2 linked regions of the Rattus norvegicus genome follow. The protein of the gene in region 2 interacts with the protein of the main gene of each other region in a biochemical or structural test. Links are inferred from orthologs where the notes say so. Each region holds a gene or a part of one and is shown on either strand. Other genes may lie near its edges.

Region 1 (3,423 bases), about 68 Mb from region 2:
AGTGAATCTTTCATAATAGACGGTCTTACCACCCACAAATAGATCTCATCAGGGTCCTGGGAAACTAATCCTGTGGAATTTTGCCTCAGCTTAAATGGCTTCCACAAAATGGCAGCAGGCTGGGCTCCTTGCCTCCCTTTTAGAGCATTAAACTCCCTGATGGCCTGGAAGCACAGGGGCAGATCTCTGCAGCGGCACTGTGACTGCCCTACTAGCACTTGGTATGATGAAATACCTCAAAGGCAACCTAGAAACTTGATCTCACAGAAGCAGGTGCAGAGTTGCTTCTGGACCTGTAACAGAAGGGAAGGAATAGAACAGTGGGAGCCAAAGGGAAACAAAGTCACACGGTGGCGCTGCAAGTGATACATAAGTAAACATTAGCACAAACCAGGGCAGCAGCACCCACCTCCCTGCTGCTACCAGAAAGCATTCTCCCCGCTTCCCTGTCTCTTCACAACAGCTGCAGGAAGGGATCGGAAACCTGTCTCGGTGCTTATTTGCTAAAACTCCCAACTGCAAGCTCTCCCTAGAGGAGCAGGACCTGTCGGAGTTCAGACAGTGTAGCCCCAGTGGCCCATGTGCTTAGGTCAGCCACTCAAGACTGTCCTGACACGGGAAGAAAGGCCTTTGTTTTTCCCTCCCCCAGATAGTTCTGCCGTGTAGGTCCACACCTTACTCAGAATCACTACACATTCCTTTAGTCTTCCTCCAAGCTCCAGAGCCATCGGTACAAATGCTTTATTGAGACAAAATACATACTACATATGGTGACATCATGAAAACAGAAGTCAGCCTCATAGATCCCTGGCTGGTTGAGGCAGCTCAGTGGCTGGGCGTAGTCAAGCCAACCCGCAGGCAAGAGTTCACTCTGACTTCGAGATTTGATGCTTATTCTTTGGATTTCTACAATTATTAAATCCGTGTCTGAGTGGTCTGCCTTTCTCTTTTGTGCTGTGAAGGTCACTGGGACGGGGTAGGATGGCTGTCCATGGCATCTTGCTTGCTGGGAGAGAAGCGGTAATTGCTGGTGGAGGTAGATTAGAGTGTCTCAGCCTTCTGTTCCCAGAGATGGGAGACTTGCTCCCTAATTGCACTAGGAGGTACTTCTGACCCCTCTGCTGTCAGGTGCCACGGTTGGGGAAGCTTCCATCCTGTTGCTATGGGATATCAGTCAACACTGTCTAAGATGAGATCTGGTTGCACTGTGGTCATTTGAAGGTAGATCCGCCTGGATAATTCTGGCCCAACACGGCGGGAGGTGGCTGTCACACCTTCCCCACGTCGCACCTGTATGTTAGCCAGCAAATTCTGGCGTTCTTGTTCAGAAAAACACTGCTGATAAGCCTGGAAGTGATAAATGACCTCTTAATATCATCCCACCCATCCATGGCCATCCCTTGGTTAGGATGGGAGATGAAGGACAGAAAAAAGATACAGGATAGGAGGGTAGAAAGGTTAAGTTGAGGCAGGAGAACCTTTCTCAGGCCAGCCAACCCACACTGTTGACCTATGTTCTTGGCCCCTCAATAAAACTTCCCCCAAGGGTGCTTGGAGAGCTGGGTCACCGAGAGCAGCATACCTGCACCAGGAGCTGTGGAGAAGGATAGGCATCCACAATAGCGCCGGCCATTTCTGAGCTGACTCGGTTCAGCTGCTGAATCTGCCGCCTCCAGATCAGTGCAAGTCCTCTACCAGCATGGTCCGCTTTCACCCCTCCAGCCCAGTCTTTCTCCAGGAAGAAGGAGAAGCTGCCTTGATCCCGGAGTTTCCTGCAAGGGCACCACGGGGGACCTGAGTTTCTCTCTCCTACTTACTTGTCCCTTTAACTGGGAACTAAAATGTTCTGCAGTAACCTGGAGATCGACTTAGTGTTACATTGGGCCAGTTTGAGTCTCTGTTCTCAAGCACAGTTTTAGTTTCAGGTTCCATTTAAAATTGCATTTAGTGGAGCTGGGGAGATGATGGCTCAGCAGTTAAGGGCCCTGTCTGCTCTTCTAGAGTACCAGATTCGATTCCAGCACTCACTACCGCCTGACTCCATTTCCAGAGGATCCAATGCCCTTTTCTGCCCTCAGGCACTGCACACACATTGTGCACAGACACACACAGGCAAAACACCTAAACACATGAAAAGAAGAAAATAAAGTTGCATCTGGGGCCTGAGGGCAGAAGTGAGTGGGTAAGGTGCTTGCTACACCTCTAACACCAGCCCTACTGTGAGATGGGTGTGGAGACAGAACCCCTGGAAGCTCAGGCAAATCATTCCTACCTGTGCAGTGGCAAAGGAGTCCCTGCGTCCTTCGCTAAGGACCTGCACTCAGGGTTACTGTCTGACTCACAGATACACGTACACATGCAAAAAAGTTAAATCAGTCCCTTCATCTAGTCCTTTTTATTAGAGAAGGTATCAATGTCATTGTGTGTGTGTGTGTGTGTGTGTGTGTGTCTGTCTGTCTGTCTGTCTGTCTGTCTGTCTGTCCCTGATAAGATGGTGTTGTACTGCCTAGGAGTAGGCATGGGAGACTGGGTATTAGACAATTTGGAATCTATTTCAGATTCTTGCTTGCTGGGAGCTTAAAACAACTCAATCTCAGGTCTTAGTTCCCTTGATATAAAATAAAGCACTTGGACAGGTTTCCTCTGAGGTCCCTTAGTTTTCAGTTCTGATTAGGTTCACTCGAGATTTAGTTCTGACTAGGTTCACTTGAGATTTGACCTGGTAACAGCATCAACTTATAGAATATACTTGCATCTGAGTTAAAGAGAATATTTTTATAAAGGGCTGGAATTGAGGCCTTTTTAAAACTTTCATTTTAATGTTACGTATATGAATGTTTGCCTCCATATATGTGTGTGTATCACTTCTGACCTCACAGGCCAGCAGAGGGTGTTAAATCCCTTAAAAATGGCGTCACAGACAGTTGTGAACCACCACGTGGGTGCTGGGAACTGTGAGTCCTACGCAAGAGCAGCAAGCGTTCTTAGCCACTGAGCCATTTCTCCAGCCCCCTACATTTGAGGCTCTGAATCTCCAGCATAAGATTGGCTTCTGCCTCAAAAGACACTGGGCTGGTGGCAGAGTTTTGGAGAAAGGCAATTTTCTGTGGCAGCAAGAACCAAGGGAAAAGCAAGACTTGGTGTGGAGGGGGGACTTGGCAGGTCACTCACTTGAAGGGCGCTTCAGCCACAGCCTTTGTAAATGCACAGGCGAAGTCGGCCAGCTCTCTCCAGCTCTGCACGATCCGAGCCTGGGCTTCTGTATATAGCTGCAGATCCACCAATGCCTAGAAACCCAAAGGCAACAGTGGACTGGAAGAGTGGAGGGACTGTTGGAAGTTGTCTTGATGTTCACTGAAGCTACACTCAACCTCTTGGCTCCAATGATCCCGCTTCTTACTCAGTCCGAGACAGACAGTGCTA
Region 2 (3,814 bases):
CTGGGGGGGGGGGGGGGTTGTCCTGGCCAGATTCTGTAGTCTGAACCTTTGTTTACAAAATCATACTGGGCTGCATGTTTAAGGTCAGTTTCCACTTGACTCTAAGCATATCCGACGTGGGTCTGTGGGTTGCATGAGTATAGTGAGAATTTTGGTTTCTTTAAAAACACAGAAATATAAGATGCTTTTGTTTTAATCCCAGGTGTGGGATATGGGGCTGCTTTAGACTGTCCACAGTAGGTGACTATGATTTGCCTACTGCTCTGGCAAGGGCGTGGTTTTTGTGGCGTTTGGACTTCCGAGGACTTCTTAGAGGATATATAAATGCTAGAGCCATGACCGAAGGGGCTGTGGTTTGTCGTGTGTGAAGAGATGGAAAGAAGAAATGAGAGGCTGACAGTGAAGATCAAACCTGCCCCAAGGAACTGCGGTGCCCCAATCAGCAGGAAGTAATCTAATAGTCACCCCCTTCCCCTCTACCCTTTTTCCTCTCCTACCTAGTGTTCAGGGTGTTGCAAGGTAGAAGTGAGGGTGAAAGAAAGAAGAACCCACAAAGCAAATAAAAGCCCAGCCCCACAGGGTACTAGGAGAGATGACTACGGCCCAGTACGATTGCAGATGACATCCTACTGCAGGACTGAAGATAGGACGCTCCTGTGACTGAGCGCTCACTGCACTCCCCCACGGTGGCTGGAGCCTGTAACATGAGACTGAAGCAAGAGCATGCCATCCCAACAGAAGAAGGGAGGGAGGGAGGGAGGGAGGGAGGGAGGGAGGGAGGGAGGGAGGGAGGGAGGGGGATCAGGAGACTCAAAACGATGCAAATACAAATGGAAAGGAGAAAAGAGAAGGGGGGTGGTAGGCGTCCAGCCCCCTGCGTACTTACACACTGAATAAGAAGTGGGCACCGAGCATACAGAACAAACTTGTGGGCATACAGCACCTCTCCGCTGTCAAGCTGAAACTGGACATCACTCAGGTGCGGATTATTGACCATGGCCCCAAAGTCTGTTGCCAATAACCCAAGAGAGAGCTGTAAGAGGAGGAGGAAGAGAGATGTGTGAGCTCCTCCATTGCTGTGCTGACTTCCCATGCAGGGGAGACCATGAGCCAGGACTCAGCTTTCCTCTCGGGACATCCCCAGATGAGGCATGAGGTTATGCCTCTGGGTTATACCGAAGACAAGGACCCAGCATGGCAAATGCTCTTTCCTTCCCAGGCTCTCTATTGCAGTGTTCCCTGGCCTGTGTGAGGGACAGTGGAGGATAAAGATGCCCTCACAGCTCCTAAGCGTTGCATGCACAGGACTCAGGGCCTGAGCTATGCAGGAACCCAATACTTCCAACCTCCATGCAAGAACATCACCAAGATGGCCCCTGCACAGCAGGGTCCTCACGGATACCCATCTTCCAGTGTCATTCATTACCAACACAGTACACTGGATTGGGAGCTAGAGCTCACCCCATAATCCATGCACAGAAGGGGCACAGCGAGTCCTTAGCGATGAAGGAAATCACTAAGAAACGAGCACACAGAGGGAGGCAGTCTCTTGGAAAGGCTCTGCAGACTGGCTGCTGAGGACACCTGAAGTGCCCAAGCACAGCAGTGGCAAAGACGTTGTGACAGTGACCCAAGAAATGAGACAGGAGGCCTGGGACTCTACGCTCCACCACGGGTGTCAAGGCATACATTTGGCAAACACCAGAGCCTGAGCAGAGCCCACAGATCAGCTGTGGCAGATGCCTTTGTACTTACTGCGACACTGTCATCCTTCCTAAGGGTCTTCTGACATGGTAGAACAAATCCCGTCAGTGGAAGGCTGCTAGGTACCAAGTCCAACCCTAAGAGAAGGACTCGTAGATCAGAAGGATGCCATCTCTCAAGCTGGCAGTATCAACCCTGGGTTTGGCTGGACACATGCTATTTAAGGACACCTTTACTTAAGGCAACCCTTTAATTGCTTTTACCCATCTCCTTACAGGGAAGTAGGAAGACTGTAGGACAGACAAACTAGCCTAGGAAGTCTGTCTTGGGCTAAAGTTTAGGGATGATTGTGAAAAGACCGGAATGTTCTGCATCATCCTCTCCTCTGAGGAAGGTACGAGAGCACCTTCATCCATGCTCTCCACTGAGAGGTGCAGAGCCTCCCAGCTGCCCACACTGGAGTTCCTCCTGACCTCACATTGCACAGGGCAGGCCCAACAACCTGCCCAGTGTCCCACCTGTGGGCATGCCCGCACTCCTGGAGCATGGACTAGAGCTCAGCCCCTCGACTGCCAAGTCCACAAGGTCCTGAAGAGCTTGGCCTTCCCTCTGGCTAGAGGACAGCAGCTGGCTCTTGGGGCTGTGGCTCACGGGGAGGCTGCTCTGGGAAGCAGGTGGCCTCTGTGTGCTTGGCTCTTGTTGTTTGGGCAGCTCCAGGGGTAGCTCGGGCTCCTGAAAGAAGTTGAAAAGCTAGTGACTATATGGTTACTGTCACCGACACTACTATACTCTGCAATAGCCACCCTACACATGCACGGCTAGGACAGGCCTACCCCCAAGGGAGGCCAGTCACAACCAGGAGCAGCCTAGGAAAACTCAACTGTGTTGGCAGGTTCTGTAATAGCTCAGGTCCACATGATGCCTCCAAGTGTACGGAAGGGCCACTTAACAGAAGGGTCCCCAGGAACTAGTTGCCCACTTAATGTCATTTAAATGGCCAAGGCTGGTGAATATCAACTTAGGATCACACCTACCAGAGCTGTGTGAAGTGCGTATGCAGGACAAGGGTTCCAAGGCTCTATCTCAGACAGACTTTAAGACTTGTGCCAGGTTGGCTGGGCCTGGACTTTGCATTTTAATTAAGGACTGTGCTGAATTTGGGGACCAAAGTCATTTTCTTAGAAGTGCTAATGAGTTGCCACAGAGAGAATGAGGTACACCAAGAGCCTGTCTCTTCCTCCATAACCTGCTTACTGGACGCCTTCCCCATCAGCCCTGCTGTCTGGTGCATTTCTAGACTACCCAAGCCTGTCCGCTTATGTGCTTGGAGGACACTGCTCACCTTGGGAGGGCACTGGGACACAAGTGGAGGAAGCAGGCCCACTGTGTAGAAGGACTCCTTAACCCAGGCTCCTGTAAGGGCACTGAGTTCCCACAGAAAGCCCCGCCTCCCTTCAGGCTGCCGCACTCGCCAGCTTGCGTGTTCCCGTTCTTCCTTAGAAATCTTGCTGGCAGGAAGTGGTGGGGTACAAGCCAGTTCTGTTTCCTCTGACAGGAGCTGGGCGACACGATCCTCGATCTGTCTACTTGTGGTCTCAGAGTCTTGGGTTACCAACTGTGGGGGACACACCGGGGGTCTCTTCCTGCGACTTTTCTTCTCTACAGATAAACAGAAGTGACTCAGTCAGAAGTAGCTCTGACTGCTTATCCCAGGGGTGGCCATGGTCACTCTCAGCCAGCCACTGGTCGCCAAGCCCTCCCCCGGCCCTGCCTCGGCCACATGTACCTGCTCCTGGCCCCTTCTTCTCAGAATAAGCATTTTCCAGTCTGAGTGGGGGCACAACTGGACAGTGCTCCATCTCAGAACGAGACAGAGCCATGGCCACCAGCAGGTCTTCGGACGGAGCCTCAGGTTTACTGACTTTCCATCTCCTCTGTGGCTCCCTCTTATTGGTGGTTCCTTTCCGTTTCAAATCTCCAACATGGTTGCTGAAACTAAAGGGCAGCCACAGAGAGAGGTCAGTGAGCACCTCTTTTTTGGGGCCTCTTCTATGTTACAGGGAACAATAGGGACAGAACCACAGCAATGAGCCAACAACTTCCCGGGCTT

Evidence for each region.
Region 1: the proteins of Slx4 (region 2) and Eme1 form a complex in vitro, tested with the Homo sapiens proteins (3 studies listed by BioGRID, with this or other methods). The link is inferred for Rattus norvegicus from reciprocal best matches to the Homo sapiens genes SLX4 and EME1.

The regions. Positions count from the first base shown.
Region 1 is NC_086028.1:80,082,886-80,086,308, forward strand, and holds the end of Eme1 (crossover junction endonuclease EME1), read right to left. Parts: intron 3,288-3,423; coding exon 3,172-3,287; intron 1,773-3,171; coding exon 1,583-1,772; intron 1,348-1,582; coding exon 1,171-1,347; 3' UTR 700-1,170; downstream 1-699. UniProt on the Homo sapiens protein: Non-catalytic subunit of the structure-specific, heterodimeric DNA endonuclease MUS81-EME1 which is involved in the maintenance of genome stability. In the complex, EME1 is required for DNA cleavage, participating in DNA recognition and bending.
Region 2 is NC_086028.1:12,042,910-12,046,723, reverse strand, and holds part of Slx4 (structure-specific endonuclease subunit SLX4), read right to left. Parts: intron 3,700-3,814; coding exon 3,491-3,699; intron 3,364-3,490; coding exon 3,047-3,363; intron 2,437-3,046; coding exon 2,223-2,436; intron 1,842-2,222; coding exon 1,756-1,841; intron 1,034-1,755; coding exon 887-1,033; intron 1-886. UniProt on the Homo sapiens protein: Regulatory subunit that interacts with and increases the activity of different structure-specific endonucleases.